Canis lupus familiaris: one gene and its partners. The protein of the gene in region 3 interacts with the protein of the main gene of each other region in a biochemical or structural test. Links are inferred from orthologs where the notes say so. Each region holds a gene or a part of one and is shown on either strand. Other genes may lie near its edges.

What was found.
Region 1: of the proteins of ASF1B (region 3) and TLK2, one has a biochemical effect on the other in vitro, tested with the Homo sapiens proteins (3 studies listed by BioGRID). The link is inferred for Canis lupus familiaris from reciprocal best matches to the Homo sapiens genes ASF1B and TLK2.
Region 2: the proteins of ASF1B (region 3) and CHAF1B form a complex in vitro, tested with the Homo sapiens proteins (2 studies listed by BioGRID and IntAct). The link is inferred for Canis lupus familiaris from reciprocal best matches to the Homo sapiens genes ASF1B and CHAF1B.

The regions. Positions count from the first base shown.
Region 1 is NC_049230.1:16,117,918-16,124,135, forward strand, and holds the end of TLK2 (serine/threonine-protein kinase tousled-like 2), read right to left. Parts: intron 5,994-6,218; coding exon 5,886-5,993; intron 3,913-5,885; coding exon 3,739-3,912; 3' UTR 2,817-3,738; downstream 1-2,816. UniProt on the Homo sapiens protein: Serine/threonine-protein kinase involved in the process of chromatin assembly and probably also DNA replication, transcription, repair, and chromosome segregation. Phosphorylates the chromatin assembly factors ASF1A and ASF1B.
Region 2 is NC_049252.1:31,271,188-31,278,758, reverse strand, and holds the start of CHAF1B (chromatin assembly factor 1 subunit B), read right to left. Parts: upstream 5,196-7,571; 5' UTR 5,088-5,195; intron 4,603-5,087; exon of another isoform or gene 4,558-4,602; 5' UTR 4,548-4,557; coding exon 4,422-4,547; intron 3,396-4,421; coding exon 3,263-3,395; intron 1,163-3,262; coding exon 1,045-1,162; intron 542-1,044; coding exon 438-541; intron 1-437. UniProt on the Homo sapiens protein: Acts as a component of the histone chaperone complex chromatin assembly factor 1 (CAF-1), which assembles histone octamers onto DNA during replication and repair.
Region 3 is NC_049241.1:48,794,055-48,801,774, reverse strand, and holds the start of ASF1B (histone chaperone ASF1B), read right to left. Parts: upstream 5,137-7,720; 5' UTR 4,669-5,136; coding exon 4,560-4,668; intron 1-4,559. UniProt on the Homo sapiens protein: Histone chaperone that facilitates histone deposition and histone exchange and removal during nucleosome assembly and disassembly. Cooperates with chromatin assembly factor 1 (CAF-1) to promote replication-dependent chromatin assembly.

The DNA of each region.
Region 1 (6,218 bases), on a different chromosome or scaffold from region 3:
GAAGGCTCCTACAAAGACTGCGTCACCTACCCAAGGCAAAAGGATCTCCTGACCACCCGGCAAGTAGAAGGGCTCTGAATCTCCACTAGCAAACTTGATGGGTTCAGGCCCAGCAATCTTTCTTACTGGATCTTGTGATCTCTCTGTAAACCACATTTTTTGATTCCCCTCTTACATGCCAGGCATTTTATTATACCCTATTTCTACTCCTTACAACCATGCAAGGAATCATCCCTGAAGCTTGCAGAGGTAGGATCTGAACCAGACCTACTTCTAGAGCCCAGGTTCTTAACCTCCAGGTAATTCTGCCTTAAGAAATTAAAACAGAACAGCTAATTTTAGGAAGCAGAGACTCCCCCATACCTCAACTAGTATGTGTACCATGTCTCTCCACTTACCCCAGGGCTGATTTTAATTATAGACAGAGCAAGCTTGGGCAAGCAGAATGGTGAGTAAGTGGGGGTGGGGGTAGAGATTCTCAGAAAGCAAAACTCACCAAGGTGGGGGTCAAGCTAGTTGTAAACTTTGCCTTCTCAGAAGCGAGGAGCTGGATTCAATGCTTACTTCTAGCTCTAGGATTCTACAAATGACTATGTTTAAAGAATATTATTTTCTAAATTAAGAAACACAAGAGCTCCTTGCCTGCTTATCTTCTCAGCTGAAGGAAAACCTATCCTCAGTGCTAGAGGAAGGAGGGCCACAAATCCTCTAAGGCAGTTAGCCGGTGTGTCTGGGTCAGCCACAAAAGTGGGGTATGCTTGGCTCTCAAGGGCAAGTTTCATGTAGAGCTGCCCCATCTTCTGTTGGGGAAGTCGGAGCCCAATTCCCTCCCATCAAAGACCTGTTTTCCTTCCCTTCTTGGGGCCCAGAGCCTTCACCCCTGGATTGTGTGCTAACAGCTAGGACTTCCCTGTCCTATTCACTGCTGTCTTCCCACCAACAAGCTTTCGTTACTGGCACAGTGGAACTACAAAAGGTGTTGTAGGAATCAACACATTGCCAACATGCCTGCAAAGTCCACTGGGACTCAGCTGCAGGATTTCCCTACCTACTCACCCCCCTGGATGCTAAGAACCCTGTTTAAAGCTGAAGAACTAGAGTAAAATCAAGAGGCTGGGAGATTCACTTCTTAAAACTTATTTTAATATCCTTCCCACCCACCCCCACCCCCCAAGTTGGGAAAGTCCAAAACAGTCTGGCTGGGTTTAATTACAAATTAATACATTTTTTTTTGTCATTGTTGAAAGTAAATCAATTGTGGCAATAAGGGATTATCCTTGGAAAAAGTGAAACCCATATTAACAAAATGTCATGGAAGAACCCCACTTAGTGATTTCATTGGCTACTGAAAAATCTAGAAAAAGTCCACATTCTGCATGTTCTCTGGGGCTAGTCCATGTAGTGGAAAGAGGCCTTGCCCAGACTCAAGCAAGCCTAGTGAGCTCCAACCAGGCCCTAGACCCAAGGGAATTGAGGAGAGAGGGCATACCTTCTTCAGGACGAGGGCAGAAAAGGTAGATCAACAAATAAAGTCCTGTAGCTCCACTTACAAGCCCATGGGGAGAAGGAGGCAGGAAGTTAGAGGGAAGGCTTAAAGATGCAGCATTCTTTCAACCTTAAAAAAAGGTTTTTTGTTTTGTTTTGTTTTTAAAAAAGGTCTTGCAAGATCAATGACTGAGAAGAAAAAAACAAGGAATAGAACTTAATACTCTTGAGTTAGTCTCGACTCATCCATCTCTTCACATATGCACATACCATCCTTCCAGGGCTCCGTTCAACCTCTGAGACCCACAGGGACCTCTGCTTAATAGCTTGAAAGTCATGGTTAAAAAAAGGTACTCCCTCCCACACATGTATATCAAGTATGTAACAAGTGTATAAACACAATAAAATGGAAATCTGGCGAAAAAATTATCTGTGATAACTTGGAAAGCTGGGGGTACCAAGGGCTCCGGGACTGACTTCCTTCCATTCAGAGTTCTGTAAGATAGTCCCTACCTGGCATAATCTCTCCAACTGGGATCACTCCATCCTCCCCTGAGATCACCTGGCCTTGAGGGGACTGGGGCAGGGCAGAGCCACAAAACCAACACAGGTGCCAGTGAAAGTGTCACCAGTGACATTTTTCACACTTGAAAGAAGGCTAGAATTATTTGAGAGCTCTCTACCCTTCCTGACTTCCCTCCCCCTGCCCAGGGAACTTGCATGCCTGAATGCTGCATCTTTAAATATTTCTGGCTGAGCCCTCTTGCCACATATGTCAGTAACATTCCAAGCTGGCTACCACATGCTCAGGCTCTGGTCTCCTCCCCTCTCTACTGTTGAGTGCTCTGCTGTTTCAAGGGCATGGTGGGGCCATGCATCTCCCATTTCAGCTCCGTCTTCAGTTGATCACACATCTCAGAAACAACCAAATGGAAAAAAAAATAATAAAACCTTAAGTTCCAAAAGAATGTTCATATTCAAAATACCTATCTCCCTGCGATTCTTTAACTCCACTTGATCATTCTATTAAAGTGAGTTAGACAAAGCGTGTGTGCATGTGCACATGCACACACAGACACACACACCAGCACACACCCACAAAATTTAGAGGGTTGGAGGTTGTTTCCTGCCAAAAGATCTAACAGAGGAAAGCTTATGAGCTGATCAAGTTTTAATATCGTGGTTAACAAGAAAGGTACACCACTTAGCAAGCACACAGAGACCGTGGGTAGGACCTCCTGATCCCTGGAGCATCTGGCTCCCTGGCCCATTTTCTGCCTACCTCTGGAACAGTTTTTCATAGTTACTACATTCAGAGAATCCAAGAGGACTGCATGGACAGATGAACCTTTATTTAAAAAAATAGCACTTCAAATAAATTAAAAGGGACAACCGTCAAGTGTTCAAATTGTGAAGAGTTGAAAACCTAGAGACTCCAAGCTGCGGGCTTCTAACCTCGTTCTTTGTCCGACGGCAAAAGCCCCACACACCTCAGTCCTCCCACTCGATGCTTTCCCTGCTGAGATGAGGGAAGCGATTGCAAACAGGAGACCAGACGGAGGAGAAAGCTGCATCTGACTGGAATGAACATTGCCACGTACTTGCTAATACGGGTTTCACTTTATGACCAAATGTATTCTTTCAAAAATAAAAAAGAGGGGGGGAGGGGAGCTGCATGTTTTTAAAAATTGAAATTATTTAGGGATAAAACACTAACTCTAGTGCCTTTAACGGGCAATAGCAACTTTTTTCCTCCGAAGTCAAACACCATCCCCAGCTGAGCCTTTGTGCTACAAGCTTTTCAGGAGATGTTACCTAAACTTTATTAAAAGAAAAGAACAAGTTTAAATATAGACACTGGACTAGCCCAGTCTGTATTTTCAAGTCCACATTCTTCATCTGAAGCACTGCATCAGGGACCCCCCTGAGTCTGCATGTTTTCAAGTTCACAGTACATGGAACCAGTTTTTCTTTTTAATTTTTTCCTCACTCAGAGCAGCCACACATAGTGGCCGTTGACGCCGGAACCTCGGGCGGGGCCTTTTCCTACGAGGCCTGGCCAGAGCTGCCCAAGGTTTCTCCTCAATGAGAATCGATGCTGTCATGCTCTATGGATGGGAAAAAAGCAAGAAAATAAAAGCACCTGGTACAGGTTTCATGAGATCCATTCGGATTCGCTATGTTCCAAACCCGCTGCTGAATGCCATTTGTCCACTTGTGTGTGCTGAACAGTTCACGGCCTAGGAGTGGGTCTCAATTTGAAGAACTATTATTGGACGCCCCTGATGTTGATGCGATAGCAGCTCCAGCAGGGCTACTCGTGGAGACCGACTTTCGGATGTGAGGCAGCAAGTAGGGGTCACAGGCCAGCTGCTGAACGTCGATTCGGTCCTCCTTTCGGTAGGCTAAGCATCGTCGAATAAACGCCTGAAAAGAAAGATTCATGAAGAAGCCTGAGGCACATAATCATGGCGCCCCTGGGGTGAACCCTGAGGCTCTGCAGCAGCTGCCAGGGCCCAGGGCCCGGAGCTGAAGTCTTCTACAGAGAAGGGGCTCCAGGCCCTTCCCAGGAGTCACTGGGCACACGCAGACAGGACCAGGCAAGGAGATGCACGGGCAGCAGCACCACTCCGTGGCCACAGACTACTTCCCCGAAAGAGGTGGCCAAGCCATTCCTGAGGGGAAACAGGGCACCACCTGACCTCTAAATATCTCTGCTCCCAAAGCACAAAGACCCACACAAAAACCACTCTTTCTGCCTTGGTCAGTTTACCCAGGCACATCTACTCTCATGGTCCTGTGTGTACAAACCATAGCCTCATGTGAACTTTCTACTTCCTAAGGAAGTGAAAACTTGTGATGACAAGCCACCACCACAGAGAGGGTGAGGAGACTGACACTAACACTGCAGTGTGTCACAGATTGGTGAATCTTATTCTTGCTTGAAAGATCATCAAGCAAATGATTAGGTGCACACACACCTAGGTAGTAAAGGAAAACCTGCATAGGACTTGTCTCCCCACGAGGACTACAGACCTGGAATCATACAGAGTTTGGTTTCATTCAGAATCCTAATTGACTACCAACATGGAAGTTTCCTTGTGCTAGGTGTGAAGGGCCCCACTGGCTCAGTATTTACAATTCTTATCACAAAGGCCCTCAAGCAGATGATCTAGCTTTTCCTATTTTTTAAGTAGAGAGTTCTGTTTAATCAGAGTCTCCTAATTATTTTAAATAAATGAACTGATTTTTAAAAATCTAAAATGTCATTATCACCTTCAGGCCATACTTTATATTTGAATGATAATAATGTTGTAATATAGGTCTATTGATTATAACCAATGTCCCACTCTGGTGCAGGATGTTGACAGTGGAGGAGGCTGTGCATGTGGAAGGACAGGGAATACATGGAAACTCTTTACTTTGTTCAGTGTTGCTGTGAATCTAAAACTGCTCTAAAAAATACAGTCTAAAAATATAGTCTAAAAAATCCATTAAAAATATAAACATGAGATGTAATGATTTTTCTTTTTCCCATGTTTAATTAATAAAGGACAAAAGTATAGCAACAATCCTGGTTTTCCCAAACCAAAAACACCTATAGGTAGCTGCTTGATTCAAGTCACAGAAATAAGCTTCATGATCCTTGGCCTTAAAAAATGAATGCTTTCTGGGATGCCTGGGTGGCTCAGTGGTTAAGCGTCTTCCTGCCTTTGGCTCAGGGTGTGATCCTGGGATCCAGGATTGAGTCCCACATTAGGGTCCTTGTGGGGAGCCCACTTTTCCCTCTGCCTGTGTCTCTGTCCCTCTCTTTCTGTGCCTCTCATGAATAAATCAATAAAATCTTAAAAAAAAAAAAAGAATGCTTCCTAGTGAGATGTGAAAGGAGAGTTAAATGAATTACCTTAGGTTGGACAAGATAGTTACTGGTCAAATAATTCCATCTTGCATTTTTTCTCTACACAGGCCTTTGAAACGGCAATCAGATCACATAGCTGTCCTGAGTAACACCTTCAAGTATTTCCATCTCAGTTTACCATCTGCCCTGCTACCTCTCCTACCCACCACCCTTCCCTCCGCTCCACCAGCTCTGTGGATCTGCTAAGCTTGCACTTGCATCTCAGCTTCACACATTTCTCTGGCTTAGAACATTCTCCCAAACCTACACATGGCTTATACCTTTCACATCATTCAAGACTGCTCAACATATCACTTCACTGAAGCCTTCCCTGACCAAGCCAGCAAAAAATGAATTCCCGCCCCTCCATATCCTTTCTTGCATTTATTTTTCACCATCTAAGATGGATCTGTTTATACTGATAATCCATCCACTATTACCCAGAGAACTAATACAGAAAGCAAAGCAGTCGTTTCCTGCTGGCCAGTGGGTTACAGCTTACCTTTGCTTCTGGTGTTACTACTGGCTTTGGCGGGAACTGCACTTCAGTAGCTTTAAGAATCGTATTTTCTTGTAGAATATCTTGCTGGGACTGGTTGTGGCCAAAAGGCTATCATACAAAAACAAAACAGAGGTGGGCCTCTTGTTAAGATGAAAGAGAACACAATTCAAAACCACGGAGAAGGGAAAGAAGACATGCCTCAGTGAGAACTGCTAGAAAGAACTTCGAAGATGGTCTCCTCTAACTCTTGCTTTTTTCAGGTGAGGGGTGGAAAGGTTCAGAATTGAAGTAACATATTCACGGTGCAACATCAAGATTAAGGCAGAGCTGGGA
Region 2 (7,571 bases), on a different chromosome or scaffold from region 3:
CTACTATCTTCCTAATCAGAGAATAAGTTCTGTGAATGAGGGAGGCACCTTGGCCATCCTTGATCTCAGACAGGCACCTGATCCTACCTATCCCAACATGGAGCATTCAAGGGCCCATCGATTACGACAACGTGCTAAATGTGCAAGATCCTGAGTTCCACGAAGGCAGGCATGAGCCCTGCCCCCAGCATGTCTGCACCCCCACGCAGACGGGATGGACCTTGCTTGGGCACCAGGGCTAAGCCGCTTCCACTCTGACTGGGACCCTAAAATAGAGTTGGATCCACAACACATGGGCATCCTCAAGTGCTGAGCCAGACACCTTATTCCAATTCACTAGGAAACTCTTCCTATGTCTTTAAAGATAAAGCATGTTAGACTTTTTAGCCACGTGGAATATTCCTTCCCCCTGACAATGAGAGAAACGTGTCAGCTACCTTTACTGACGTCCCATATGATGGCCGTGTTATCCACAGAGGCAGAAGCCATTAAATTCCCGTCAGCTGCCCAGCAAATGTCATACACATCTTCTAAGTGGCCCCTGGAATCCGAAGAGGAGGGGAAAAGCAAATCTCGTCTTAATGAGAGAAAAAGGCATAAAAAGTCTACAGGCAACCTCAGAGACCATGGATTAGGATTTCAGAAATTTCCACTGGAACTACATTACCCGCAGCTACGATCTGCTACACCTTCAGGGGGTAGTCGTATCTTTATAATGAATTCAATCTAAGGAAAATTTTACAGCAGAAATAAAACCCATTTTGGGGCACTTGGGTGGCTCAGTGGGTTAAGTGTCAGACTCTGGGGTTTGGGCTCAGGTCAGGATCTCAGGGTCGTGAGATCGAGCCCTGTGCTGGGCTCCAAGCTGGGTGTGCAGCCTGCTTGAGATTCTCCTTCTCTTTTACCACCCACTCCCTCTCTAAAAAAAGAAAGATAAGTAAAGAAAAGAAAAAAGAACTCTTGTGAGTTCAAGACCCAATGCATGTAGTTGAATCCATTTAGAGATGTCAGATAAAGCACTCGTCTAGCCCCTCCCCAAGTTACCTCAGGGTTTTCACAACAGTCCAATTCTCCTTATTCAGCTGAGCCTCATCCTCATCCTGGAAAGCAACCTGTTCTGGCTCCTTGTTGTCATTCACCTTCCACAACAGAATGACAGCATCTGCGGAGCAATTTGGTTACAGATGAGCCATGGTTTTTGCAGGCTCCCTCCTTTCTGGGCTGCTACGGTGTTAAAACCCTAGTTACGGGCAGCCCGGGTGGCTCAGCAGTTTAGCACCGCCTTCAGTCCAGGGCGTGATCCTGGAGACCCGGGATCGAGTCCCATGTCGGGTTCCTTGCAGGGAACCTACTTTTCCCTCTCCCTGTGTCTCTGCCTCTCTCTCTCTCTCTCTCTCTCATGAATGAATAAATAAAATCTTAAAAAAAAAAAACCAAACCCTAGTTACATTGTCCAACAGATACTGTGGTCACAATGAGTGACTTGTAAGAATCTGGACAATCTGCCTTCTAATCTAAAACTCCAAAATCAAACTGATACCCGATCAGAGCTATACAAAGGCCTATTAAACAGAAGGGTCCCCAGGCCAGCAAAATACCGCTGCAGAGCAGCTGACTATGTTAACACATCCTAAGGCATAACCCAGGAGCAGCTGAATAGGCGGAAACAAAGAGCCACCAAGCAAGGATTGGCAAATCGTTCCCAGCTATGTCCGCAGGCCTTAGCATCTAGACTCCTCAGCTACCCCATCTGTAAAATGCATACCTACCTCACGGACTATCTAGAGTCTAGAGTATTGTCTACTCTGTCTAGAGTATTCGATAAGTTAATATGTATGAAGCACAACATGATGCCTAGCACACAGTGAGCCCACGGACACATCAGATATCTCAGCCTGTTGTCATCAATTGTCTGGGGGCTCTAACTCCCTGTGCTGGGACCCCAACTCACCACACAAGTCGGAGCCCCGTGCAGCTTCACTCTGAGTGCCAGCAGGACAGTGACTGAGCTGGCTGTATGGGCACAAGTGTGCTCACGCTAAGCTGTAATCCTGGGAGCTGGGTGAAGAGATCAGCCTCGACATTGACAGGTGGACACTCTCCACTGCTAACAGCAGGTTTCTGACCCTCTAGGGCCAAAGGACTTGGCAAAACGAGAGCTCCCCTGTGCAACCTCACAGAAGATAGCCTGCCAGCCTCCCCCAGTGACGCTCCCCACCTTCCATCTCTCTGTGCCACACACTCTGGACATTGTGGCACTGGACTTAACCAGATCTCTTTCTTCCTTCTGCAAACAAAAACCTGTGATGTGTTTTATTTTGTACTAACTTCTAGACTGTTTCGGTGTCAAAACACAGTAAAAAAGATTTACTTTTTTTTGTAGTAGTTTAATGCCATTTAAACACAAGCAGAAAATATGAATCATTCTACTTCCACCAAGCAAACATAAATTAGAGGGCCATTCAGATAATACTCCGTCAGGTGAATTAATTAATTACACAGAGGGGATCCCTGGGTGGCTCAGCAGTTTAGCCCCTGCCTTCAGGCCAGGCTGTGATCCTGGGGTCCCAGGATCGAGTCCCACATCAGGCTCCCTGCATGGAGCCTGCTTCTCCCTCTGCCTGTGTCCCTGCCTCTCTCTTTCTCTCTCTCTCTCTAGACAATACTCTAGACTCTGTGTCTCTCATGAATAAATAAGTAAAATCTGTAAAGAAATTAATCACACAAAGACATGGGAAAGACTATGATCACTTGGATACTAAACCAGCAATCAAACAAGGCCAGGAGGGCTGCATTGGGACTTTGACAAAATGGTAAGCACCTTCCTACTGGTCCCTACGAGTGGGGTGGAGGAGCGGCCATTTATAAATAGCTCTGCTCAGGTTAAGCTTTTGGTCCTCCATCCCCTCAAGCTCCTCAGAACGCTATTTTACTGAACTATCTAAATGACGGATTGAGGGTGCCTGGATAGCTTAGTCTGTTAAGTGTCTGCTTTCAGCTCAGGTCATGACCCCAGAGTCCTGGGATCCAGTCCGACATCATCCGGAAGCTTGCTTCTTCTTCTACCCCTCCCCCCTGCTCATCAACTCCCTCTCTCTCTCTCAAAAAATTTTTTAAAAATAATAAATAAATAAATGACGGATCGAGAGGTCAAGTGACCTCAAAAATCAAAAAGCGTACCTAGCTCAGATCTCACTATTTAACACGAGACAGAACGGTATCTGGTTTCTAAGGAATTGTGAAGGATAATACTAATACTCACCATCTCCTCCTGATGCTAAAATTTCCCCATTTGGAGAAAAACGCACGACATTGACAGCTTTGGTATGGCGAGCAAGGTTGGACAAAAATTCAACAATGGCCTTTCCATCGGGTCCTTTTTCCACCTTCCAGATCTGTCGATAACCAAAACGTTCATTCCGAGACACACAGAGTGAATACCTACCACACTGTTAAACACTATAAACACTTACCAAAACAATACCAGGCTAGTTTTTGGGAAGGAAATAGCTTTTCTTTGGATACACGTAAAATGGAATTTCCATCTGATATGTCGACAGTCCCATGACTTGCTACCCTCCCTCCTACCTCTTTCTGGGGCCAAGTGTTCCCACTAGGAACTGGCTCAGGATTTTTTTTTTTATATATATATACAAAATTTATTTATTTATTTATTTATTATAGTCACACAGAGAGAGAGAGAGGCAGACACATAGGCAGAGGGAGAAGCAGGCTCCATGCACCGGGAGCCCGATGTGGGATTCGATCCCGGGTCTCCAGGATCGCGCCCTGGGCCAAAGGCAGGCGCTAAACCGCTGCGCCACCCGGGGGATCCCTGGCTCTGGATTCTAAAACGATCTGCATCGGAGGCACCTGGGTGGCTCAGTTGGTTGAGCACCTGCCTTTGGCTCAGGTTGTGATCCCAGCCTGCTTCTCCCTCTCTCTCTGCGTCTCTCATGAATAAATACATAAAATCTTTAAAAAAATAAAAATAAAAATAAAAATAGGGCAGCCCGGGTGGCTCAGCGGTTTAGCGCTGCCTTGAGCCCAGGGCCTGACCCTGGAGTCCCAGGATCGAGTCCCACGTCGGGCTCCTTGCATGGAGCCTCCCTCTCCCTCTCTCCCTCTCTCATGAATAATTAAATAAAATCTTAAAAAATAATAATAATAATCAAATAAGGAGCATGCAGTGTATCCATCTAGGAAGCACTGGCCAAGGAATAAAGCTTTCTTGTGCCCTCACGGTTCAGTCGCGGGCCTGAGAACCGGTCTGCAGCCTGGGCTCGGGGGCAGGGCGGCCTGAGTCTGCAGACACAGGTTTTGAGCACACACAGGAAGGGAGGCCCTAGGGCGCTTCAGCGGGGCCTCCCCGGCCCGCCCCGCCCCGCCCCGGCCCGCCCCGGCCCGCCCCGGCCGCTCACCCTGACGGCGGTGTCCACGCCCGCCGACGCCAGCCTGTGGATCCTGCCCGCCGCGCCGTGCTGGAAGTCCAGGCTGTACACCGGCTCCTTGTTGTGCCAGGCTATTTCGCAAGTGATGACTTTCATGCTGCCGGGTCTGGAAGGGGCCGAAACAAATCCGCCCCCGAAGGCGGAGGAAACGCTGAAAGCCGTCGGGGATGAAGGGAGTGTTAGCGGGGGGCAGGCGCGGGGAGCCCGCTCGGCAGTCAGGGCGCCGGGGACCGGGACGGGGACGGGGACGGGTGGCAGCGTCGCCCTCTCCCCGAACCCCTCCGCAAGGGCACCTGAGCCGGGGAGCCGGGGAGCCGGGGAGCCGGGCCGAGGGAATCCCGGGCCCCGCCCTGCTGCGCGGCCGCCCCGCTCCGTGGGCCCGGGGCGCTCCCGGGGAGCCAGGCGCCGCCCGGGCAGGGGCTGGGGCTGCGGCCGCCGCGGGGAGGGGCTCCCGGAGCGCTCGGGAAGCCGAGACCGGGCCCGGCCGGGAGGAGGCCGCACGGCGCCGCCCGAACGCGCGCCGCCCCGCAGCTCCGCCCGGCCCCCGGCCGCCCGCCCTCAGCGAGACCCTCTCGCCGCCCGTGCGGCCCCAACGGGAGGCCGGGGGCCGCGGGAGCCAGCGCCCGGGAGCAGTACCTGCAGGGCCGCGGTCGCTCGGCTGCGCCTCCAGCTCCCGCCGCCGCTTGCGCTTCTTCCCGCGCGCCACAGGCCCCGCCTCCTCGTGGGCGGGACTTCCGCGGGGCCCGCCCCTTTGTGGGAGGGGCTATCCTCCCGCCCCGCCCCCTTGTGGGCGGGGTCACTCGGCGCTCCGCCCCCTGCCCCGGCCCGCGGGTGCTCGGAATCCCCGCCGACTCCCGCCGATATAATTACGTGCACGACCGAGGCCTCGCGGGGAGGAGTGGATGAGTTCATCGACCCATTCATTCAATCATTTCTTCCCTTCTCCATGAGTTCTTTCAGCAGACATTTACTGGGCATCTGCAGGATGCTGGACCCTATTCCGGTGCTGGATAATAGGGTTTTTTTTAATTTATTATTATTTTTTTTTAATAGGGTTTTTTTTTAAAGATTTTTTTTTTTATTCATTCAGGATGAGACACACACACACACACACACACACACACACACACACACACACAGAGGACACAGGCAGAGGGAGAAGGAGAAGCAGTCTCCCTGCAAGGATGCCTGATGTGGGACTCGATCCTGGGTCCCCAGGATCACGCCCTGGGCCAAAGGCAGGTGCTAAACCGCTGAGCCACCCGGGCTGCCCTCCGGTGCTGGATATGCAGTGAGACTTACCCTCCGGGAGTTCACAGTCCAGTAGAAGGAAGAGTGGTCCTATCACCCAGGTGGGGAGGCTGGAACTCTGAGACCCGCCCATGACCATCCCTTCTGTCACAGGTGCTCTTTCACAGCGAGTGTCTGTGACCTGCATCAGGCCCCGTCGCCCTCTCTGGAGTTCCAAGCATCAGTAAAACACAGAGAGTGTTTACGGGCCTCCTGTAGTCAGGTACATTTTTTAAATGTAACTTTAAAAAAAAAAGTGTGGAGGGAAAAAGGGAGTGTGGAAGGAACAACGTGCTCTCTACAGTTCCGAGGGCGCGCTTATTTTGGATTTGAAGGCTCAAGGCAAGTTTGAAGAGAAGAGGGCATTTAAAATGGGCTTGGGGGGTATCTGGGTGGCTCAGTGGTTGAGTGTCTGCCTTCGGCTCAGGTCGTGATCCCAGGGTCCTGGAATCAAGTCCCGCATCAGATTTCCCACAAGAAGCCTGCTTCTCCCTCTGCTTATGTCTCTGCCTCTCTGTGTTTCTCATGAATAAATAAAATCTTTTTTTTTTTTTTTAAGGGGCTTCGGGTAATAGAGTTTTGGATGAGCAGCTCTGGGAAATGGGAATTTAAGCTAAAGAAACTCACAATTGACAACAGAGGCACAAAGGGGGAGCAGTGGGATCCGTGATGGGAAAGGGTGGATGGGGGCAAAAGCCCAGAAGCATTCAGATGTGAATGAGCAGGTCCAATGGATATATGTGTCTCAAAGGCAATTTTCTCATTCTAAATTAACTGGAATCCAGTATATGTTAATCTGAGAGCTTGGTTAAGACAAAATGACAGATGGACTCTCTTCTTGTGCTAACAGCAGGTTTCTGGGGCTTCAAGACCAAGGGACTTTGTAAAACAAGTGCTGCTCTGTGCAACCTTGAAGAAGAGAGCCTGCCAGCCTCCCTGGTGGCTCTCCCACTTCCCACCTCTCCCCTCTTCTCCCTCCCTCCCTCCCCTTCCGCCCCCCTCCCTGGGCATCACTGACCTTGAATTTAACCAGGTTTATTCTTCCTTTTGCAAACAAAAATTGAGAATTTTGTTTCTTATATATACTGGCTTTTAGAACGTTTTGGAAAGTTCATGCTATGGGGTCATTCTATACCTGGATTGCTTACATTATACTGCAATGAGCAGATAGGGTCATAAACACTTGTTAGAAACACAATTTAACATTTTCAAGTAAGGTTGTAAATCAGAAGGCAGAACTAGATGCAACAGGATTTTAGAAGTGGGATAATTTTCCAAATGGGACAATTTATCTGTGAGCTTCTCGGAAGGCCAGGAAACAAATACCTTGGGATGCATAGCTTTTACTTGATAAAAGGAACATTTAGGCTCATCTGAGGAACCAGCTCTTCTTTTTTTTTTTTTTTTTTTTTTTTTTTTTAGGAAAAAGAATGACATGGATTCTTATATAAATGCTGGTTGATGCTCTTAGCCAATTTTATGAAAGGTATAGAAGTTGTCTGTAAATGGATGTCTCATATTGAAGGGAATGACTGGAGTCTCCTTAAGCCTGACTTCTACAAGGAAGCTAAGATAATGTGATCCAGATACGTAGCTTTTAGATCTTCTCTCTTAAATCATGGCTAAGACTTTGGACTGGGAATGACTAATGTAGATAATCTGGCTGTTTTAAAAGTACAGATTCCTGGCCCTACATAGGCCCACTGATTCAGAGTATCCAGCAGGAGGCGCTCCTGGTAGGGAGGCTGCATTTTCTCAAGATCCCAGGTGAGTGATAATCAGTCTGGTCTGGAACCAAGGGTTCAATGTCTCTGATAACCACCAGGTGTC
Region 3 (7,720 bases):
GATATGGGGTATTAAGGACTTGAAATAGCTGGGCAGCATGAAGGCAGGGGAAGGTCTTGTGTTGAGTTTTGGACAGATACTTAATATATTGAAAGATTTTTATTCTCAAGAATGCCTGACATCTGCTGGGGAGTAAGTGCCAGGCACCACCATCCTAAACACTGAAGGGGGCATGAAACTCTACTTCTAGTGGGGAAATTTCTCTCGTGAGCCTAGCTTTGCTGGGTGACCCTGACCCTGCATCTTTGGGATAACTTGGGGATCTCAGAGCCTGAGGGTGAACCGTATGGCAGAGGTTGAATTAGGAGCCACGTGACAGAGGCGTGCAGAGGAGGGACAGCAGGGAATTGGGCCATTTCAGGGCCCTGCCCACTGGGTGCTGGGATAGGAAGCAGCATCCTCTTTCACACACAGGGACCGGTGCCACCAAACTGAATAGATCCCTCGACAACTGGGGCAGGGCAGCAGATTCCAATCTAGCAGGAGAGCCAGCCGGCAGGAGGGGGAAGACGAGGCCACAGGGGGAGCCAGCCAGTCTCCAGGTCTTCCAGTTCCAGCACCAACTCATGCCTACTTTCAGACATTTGGGTGACAGCGACTCAGTCAACAAATGTGGCATCCTAGGGTGATCCTCTGAACCCCGCCTCTCTTGCATCCCAACAAAGTGGTGGTGGTGGGGAATCTCATCCCTGAGTATGTTCCAGCAAGGTGAGAGGAACAGTGCTGAAGGAGACCCTGCCCATCAAGTACAGGAAATTCCCGGTGACCGCTGCCTCTTGCAGGAGGTCCAAGTGTATCAGGGGCAAGGTCACGCTAGTACAGGGAAGCTTGGCAGGAGACCTGAAACTTATTTTAGGTTCTTTGAAATTACACAACCTGTGGCTCCAGCGGCTGGAGGAAATTTCACAAGCTATGAGTTTCACAGGAAGCAAAGTGTTGTTGAAGTTGCCCTGGTCTGGTGTCCCACAAGAGCATCCAACTTGGTAAACACCGCTATGCTGGGCCACAGCTCCGGAGGTTTGTCACCCGAGCCCCAAGCTCTTCCTCGATACACTGATTTCCTGTTCCTTTGCAGTGTCACCCAGGTCTTCTATGCAGGGACCCTAGTTAGCAGGTCTGGGCCATACAATGACCCATGGGCTCACCGGGGTTCAATTCTAGTCTCTTATTATTTGCAGGAACCAGTTAAGTTTACTGATTTATCTTTGTTACAAGGAGTGACATGACTAGATAAAACATGTTTCTGGGCGAACAAAAATCAAGCTGGCTCTGTCCTTGCCTTTCTAACACAGTTCTCTATTTTGGTAGCTTTCCTCCTGGCCTTCCCTCTGCCACCAGTGGAGTCCTATATGTGTGCATTTAGCTAATGTGCTGGGGCAGCAAGGGGGGGGGGGAGGTAGATAAAAAGGGCACCAAAGTAGAGCAGGCCCTGCGTTGGCCACGGGCAGTGGATGTTCGATACCACTGGCAAAGACTGGTGTGGTGTGGGTGCCACCAGGAGGAGAAAGCGCACTGCGCCGGCGGCCAAATGGTCTGCAATGGCTCCCTCAAGAGAGGCCGAAAAGAAACCAGAGAATTGACCGAGGGCCACAGAGAAATATTGACTCAATGGATAGGGGAGCTGATACAGTCATCTATGGAAAACAGCAGATGCTTGAAAATAAGGACCTAAAAACTGGATTGCCTTAAACTTGCTGAAGCGTTTTTAGTAGAAGCATACTTAAGTGGCTCCATTTTTAAAATATAACCACGGATGTCCATCACGAGTACAGCACAAACTCATTCCTTCTGAATACAGGACGCGATTGTACATGCATAACACGGTGTGCCTAACTTTTTAGGCAATTTCAAGGGTAACTTGACAATATTCAATTTTGTCTTTAGGCCCTAACTTTGCAATGGAACAGTCAACAACATGTTCTTCCACTATGTACGAAAACAAAACCAAAACTAACAACCTGATCGAAGGCATGTAAAAGTTCATTTTCATTGAAGTAGCTGGAGAATGTTTCCTGCCTTAAAACAAACAAACCAACACAAAAACTATCTAGTAGGCTTTTTTCTATTTATCACTTTGCCAGTGTTCAGATGATATAGATGAATCTTGGCCTGCCCACGGTGTTAGCTGTGGGTCAGAACATCTGGTTTCATGACTTATTCAAACAGTGGCTGTTGAATTTCTCAATGGAAGAGAGGAAAAACACATCTAATGTATTAAATGTGGACCCATGCCTAGGAAGCATCTATTTCTAGATGCTGAGGAGAAAAAAGAACCCCTTGGGAAATAGAATCAGTCACTGATTGGGGGTTGGGTCTTTTGTCAGAGCTTCAGTTGCTAGCGTCAAGGTAACGAGACTGAGATTTCTCCAGAATCTGAGAGACTTCTAAAGCCAGGCCCCCTCCATCTCTTTGGGAGGCAGGAAACGGATTCTCTCTGTTCCATGGGAAGAAGGCCAGGAATAGGCAGAAAGCAAGTTGGCAGGTCAAAGTCATGGACAGCCCTAGGGGTAGAACCAGAGTCTGGATTTCCAGGCCAGAGTTTGCTTTCCAACTTCCATTTCTCTGAGCAAAAGCTTTATTGTCTGGGTGTAATTAATAGTAGCACTCCCTTCATTTTCTTTTGAGAGCGTCCCAACGTGGAAATCAATTATTTGGTCAGTTTTATTTATGCTCCACTTCTAAAATAAGGGATGAAGGGACACCTGAATGGCTCAGTGGTTGAGCATCTGCCTTTGGCTCAGGTTGTGATCCTGGGGTCCTGGGATCAAGTTCCACATCAGGCTCCCCACAGGAAGCCTGCTTTTCCCTCTGTCTCTCTCTGTGTCTCTCACGAATAAACAAAAAATCTTAAAGTAAAATAAAATAAAATAAGGGATGAATTCTTTTTTTTCCCAGGTTATAATAGCAAAGGTAGAGAATTCTGGACTCAACTCAGAGACAAACTCTAGTGTCATTACTTCTACAGATAGGCTGTGTGACCTCAGAGAAGTCAGCCCATTTCTCTCTATTAAAAAATAATGACCAGCAGGTTGACTTTTGACTTTCCTGCTCTGAGTCTATAAACAGATTAGTAAAGTAATAGGGCAGGGGTTTTCCTAGGAATAGAAGTACTAGATAATGACTATGCAACCCTTTTTAAATGCAAGGAGCACAAACAGGCTGTTTGAAACCTGATATCCTGCCTTCTGGGAACTGTGAATCCCTTAACCTATTAGCTCCTTACATCTCCTGTCTTTAAAATTAAATTCTTATTCCACAGTGTCATTCTACACTTTAATTATTTATTTACACCCTGGCTTGTTCCAGAAAGGATTTAACTGGGCTTATTCTATAGTTAGTCACAAGTAGATTCCTTAATTTAAAAAGGAGAGAAGCTGAGAGACTGATCTATTGGCCCAGGCCAAAAGCACACACATCTCAAATTTTATCAACCCCAAACTAACACAAAAGGCTGGCTTTTCCCACAAACCACCCACCTACCACTGAGGGGCGCTAGTTAGCACACCATGGCCTCATAGATCCCCATCTCCCCAGCTGCCTGCTGCCTCTTCTTTAACCACCAAGTGAAGAATCTGTCTAATGGAGTACTTCCTCCTGAAAGTGGTGCCAAGAGTCCCTGGGCAACCTTAGATTTTCGATTTTTATAGACCTTTACTTGAAAGGTCTTTCATTCTTTGTGGTTCCTGTCTTCTCATCTGTGAGATGAGAACCATGTCCACCTTTATAACGCACAGATGAATAAGTCCATCTGTGAAAGCACCTTGGAAAAGATTCACAAAAAGTTCTGACCTCCCAGCCGATTGTTTGAAGCCAGATACCGTCATGGCTCAGCCTGGCCCCAACTCCCAGACTGGGTCAGCCCATCAAAAGTGTGGGAAGAACTGCTGCAATAGATCTGCTGGAACCTGGTGGGCAGACAGTGGGAACCGGCTGATGCTTGCCTGGTGTTGCCACCCTTCAGATATGAGCGTGTTTATCGAAGCACACAGACAGGAGGGAGGCACGGGAACTGGGGAGACCAAGTTATCCTGAAAGACTGGAGCTGGAAACCTGCCGTGCTTCCCCCCGTGGGCGCAAGCTGGTAAAACTGGGGCCAGGATAAGGAGGTGGGAAGCCAGGGTCCAGGGTATGTGCTTTGGGGGTAGAAAACAATCCGAAGTGGGTGGGGATGGGGTTGTTTTAAATATCATGCGGCTTAGGGAGGGGAGACCGGCTGTACGGAGAGACAAATGGGGAGATGGGGACGAGTAAGGTCTTGCCACGAGGGAAAGGGATCTCATAAGGATAACTGTGAGGGTCAGTCTGGGTGACTGGAGGTCTCCGCAGGTCAAAGAAGCTCCACAGGAAGGGGGAGGGGGGATGAGGAGGTCTCCGCGGGAGAAATGGGAGTAACCGTGGGGCGGGGGCGGCTTGGCCAGGGGTGTCAGGGGCAGTCTCTCAAGGAGGCTGGGGCTGAAGGGGAGGGGAGGAGGGGAATGGGGGGGGCTCGTTTCTCGTGGGAAGTCTGGGAAGGTGGGGAGGGGTGGGGGAGGGGTATCTCCACACCGGCCCAGCCTCACCGTCCGCCAGGGCCTCATTGCACTCGAAGCTGATCTCGAACCGGAAGGGGCTGTGGAAAGGGCTCGGATTCTCCAGCACCGCCACGTTCAGCACAGAAACCTTGGCCATCGCCTCGCCGGGCCGCGGCAGAGGCCACAGCTGGGGCCGAGCCCGCGCCTGAGTCCTCTGCGGTCAGCGGGGTAGCGTTACTCCCTACCGCTCCCGCCTCTTCTGTCCGCCGACTGAAGTGCGCCTTCGCTCCGCGCGCCTCCTTCAAATAGCCGGCCCCACCCTCCGGCCAATCACCGTCAGCGCTCGCCGACGGCGCGAGCACACCCTCAGCCAATCGTGGAGCGCGGGTCGGCGCGCGCCGAGACTCCTCGGGCCAATCCGTGGGGCTCCCTCGCCGGGGTGCTCAAGGGAGGCGGAATCATTTCTTGGCTTTTTTGGGTGTCCAGCGGGAACCAATCCCCAGCGTCTCCGACTCGGATGTCTGGGGGCGGGGGTAGACGGAGGCAGAGCGCGAGTCTCCTCTCGGCCAATCCCAAAGGTTCCCGCACCGGCGTGGTGCGCGCTTCGCCCCGCCCTTCCGGGGGACGCAGCCCGGCGGAGGGCAGCTCCGCCAACCGCCTAGCGGTGGCGCGCGGCGCCCGCTTAAGAGGGCGGGAAGGGCGGCGCTGGCTCTCGTGGTGATTGGCAGGCCGGCGTCTGGCAGGGCGGATGCAGATTCTCTGCGACGTGATTGGCTGGGTTGGTCGTGGGGCGGGAAGAGAGGAATACTTAGCTGGGGATTCGCCGCCCAGAAGCGGAAGTCGGCTGCCGGCGTGCTTGAGCCGCGTGTGGAGAGAGAGAGAGAGAGGGAAGGAGGAGCGTTTGTCGCCCTGGCGTCCGTTCGCAGGTGAGCGTTGCCGGGACCTTCCCTGAGGGACTCCCGGCCCCTCAGGCCCAGCGGCGGGGGAATCCGTTGTGAACGTTGGTCGCACCCCTGAGGGGAGACGGAGCGGCGGTCACGCGGCACTCTGGGACCGTGGCCCCGGGAGTCGGGCCCGGTTCGAATCCCGCTCTCGCCTCCTCGAGGGCCACTGGGAGGTTTCAGGTGGACGGCGCAGTAAGGAGGAGGACTTGGGAGTCCGGCCTCTGCCACTCAACTCCCGGGGCCACAGGCGCCCCGCCCCGGTGAACGGGGCCGTTGAAAACTCCCTGACTTGGCTCGTGACTGCATAATACAACCAGAAACTTGTCTGCACCCCTCGTCAGGGTCTGACTGCCGTCGCGCCCGGCCTGGGAGACCCCGGAGCCTCTGCCTCCACCCGCGACCCGTGGAAAGTTGACCCGAGCCACACTTCTCGCTTCACATTTTTCTAGCGAGCACGTTTAAGAAAAAGTAAAAACAAAAAACAAACAAACAAAAAAAAAACACCACAACGGTGAAATTAATGTTTTATCTTTAACCCAGGATAGTCAAGATCTTATGCCCACATACAGGTATAAAAAATACAAATGAGCTTTCTTCCATTCTTTTACTAAGTACCAAGTCTTCGAAATCCCGTGGGTTTTCCGTTGCAGCCACATTTTCTTTCTTGTTTAAAAAACTTTTTTTTTTTTTTTTTTTTTAAGATTTGTATTTATTTATTCGTGAGAGGCAGAGACACAGGCAGAGGGAGAAGCAGGCTCCCTGTGGGGAGCCCAATAGGGGGATGCTATGCCTGGACCTGGGATCATGACCTGAGCCAAAGGCAGATGATCAGCCACTGAGCCACCCAGGTGCTCTGTGCAGCTGCATTTTCGTCTGAAATAATCAGTCTGGCTTTAGTTTTCATAAAATTGGCAGTTGAAAATGTAGATCCACAGGCCCACGCTGTCTGTTTCCAACATGCTTACAAGTTTTCCAGGAGCTGGACTACATGTCAGGGTTTTCAGTGTAAACGTTAATCAGTTAGAATTCAGTGGGCGGGGGGGGGGGGGGGGGTGTGCCTGGGTGGCTCAGTCGGTTAAGCATCTGCCTTCAACTCAGGTCATGATCCTGGAGTTCCAGGATCGAGTCCTGCATCAGGTTCCCTGCTCAGCGGGAGTTTGCTTCTCCCTCTACTCTCATCCCATTCGTGCTCGCTCTTTCTCTTTCTTACTCTCTGTGTCTCTCAAATAAGTCTTAAAAAAAAAAAAATTCAGTGAGGGGGCAAGTTCTGTGCTGCAGTGGCACCATCTGCATGCAGGTGTTCATAAGCCCCTGTGGCAAGTGGCTGCCGTATTCCTGGAGAGTGTAGGACTGAAACAAATTGGATCACTCTTAAATGTGAGTTTATGAGTTTTCTATTCTTTGGATGGGAATACTGTCAGTATTGTCTTGCAGACTCTACGTGGTATGTTTCTTACTGCCCACTCCTCCCCCTGCCTCCCACTTCAGTTCAGCCAAACTGTCTTTTGGTTCCTTACAAATCTGACCTGGCATTTCCAGTGCGGAACCCCTACCAGAACCTCTTCTCCCTGCTCTTGGCATGGCTGGTGCCTTCTTGTCATTCAGATCTACCTGTTCACATGTGCTTTTCTCAGAGAAGCCTTTGCAAGGGTCCCCTGGCCCCAGTTCTGTCTTAGAGTGTAGGCCTGAACAGCACCAATTCAAGCCACTTGCATTTCTTACCTGGCCACCTCTGTGGTGGTGGTATAGTCATAAAGCCTCATGATGCTAGGCACTTTTTTGGGTGGAGGGAGGATATCTACATTTCACATTAAGTTTAAAAAAATGTTTTGTGGTTAAAAATATTGACAGTTTTTCCTTTGAGGTGATTTGGCTTTAGGAAGATCCCCGTTTATGATTAGCTATGATTTCTTGGCAGCCGTTGGGCATACTTGTGAGTTTTTGTGACTGAAAAAATCTAATTTTCAAGTTATTTCCAAATGTAATTCAACTGTTTATGTGAATACTAAATTTAATGAAGTTGCCATGATGTAATTTTCTAAGTATTTAATTAAATACTTATTCGTTCCAACTTTGTGGTTTTCTTTCTGCGTTGTGGAATCCCCCCCCATGCACCCCTCCCCAACCTTTTTGTACCCCCTGAGAAGCTCATCAGCCACAAGCACTTTGGGTGCTGATGAAGAAAATGGCTCTCTGCCTGTAATGAGTTCTCCATACAGCTGGCTGAATAATCTTCTATTGTAAACCAGATCATGTCATTACCCT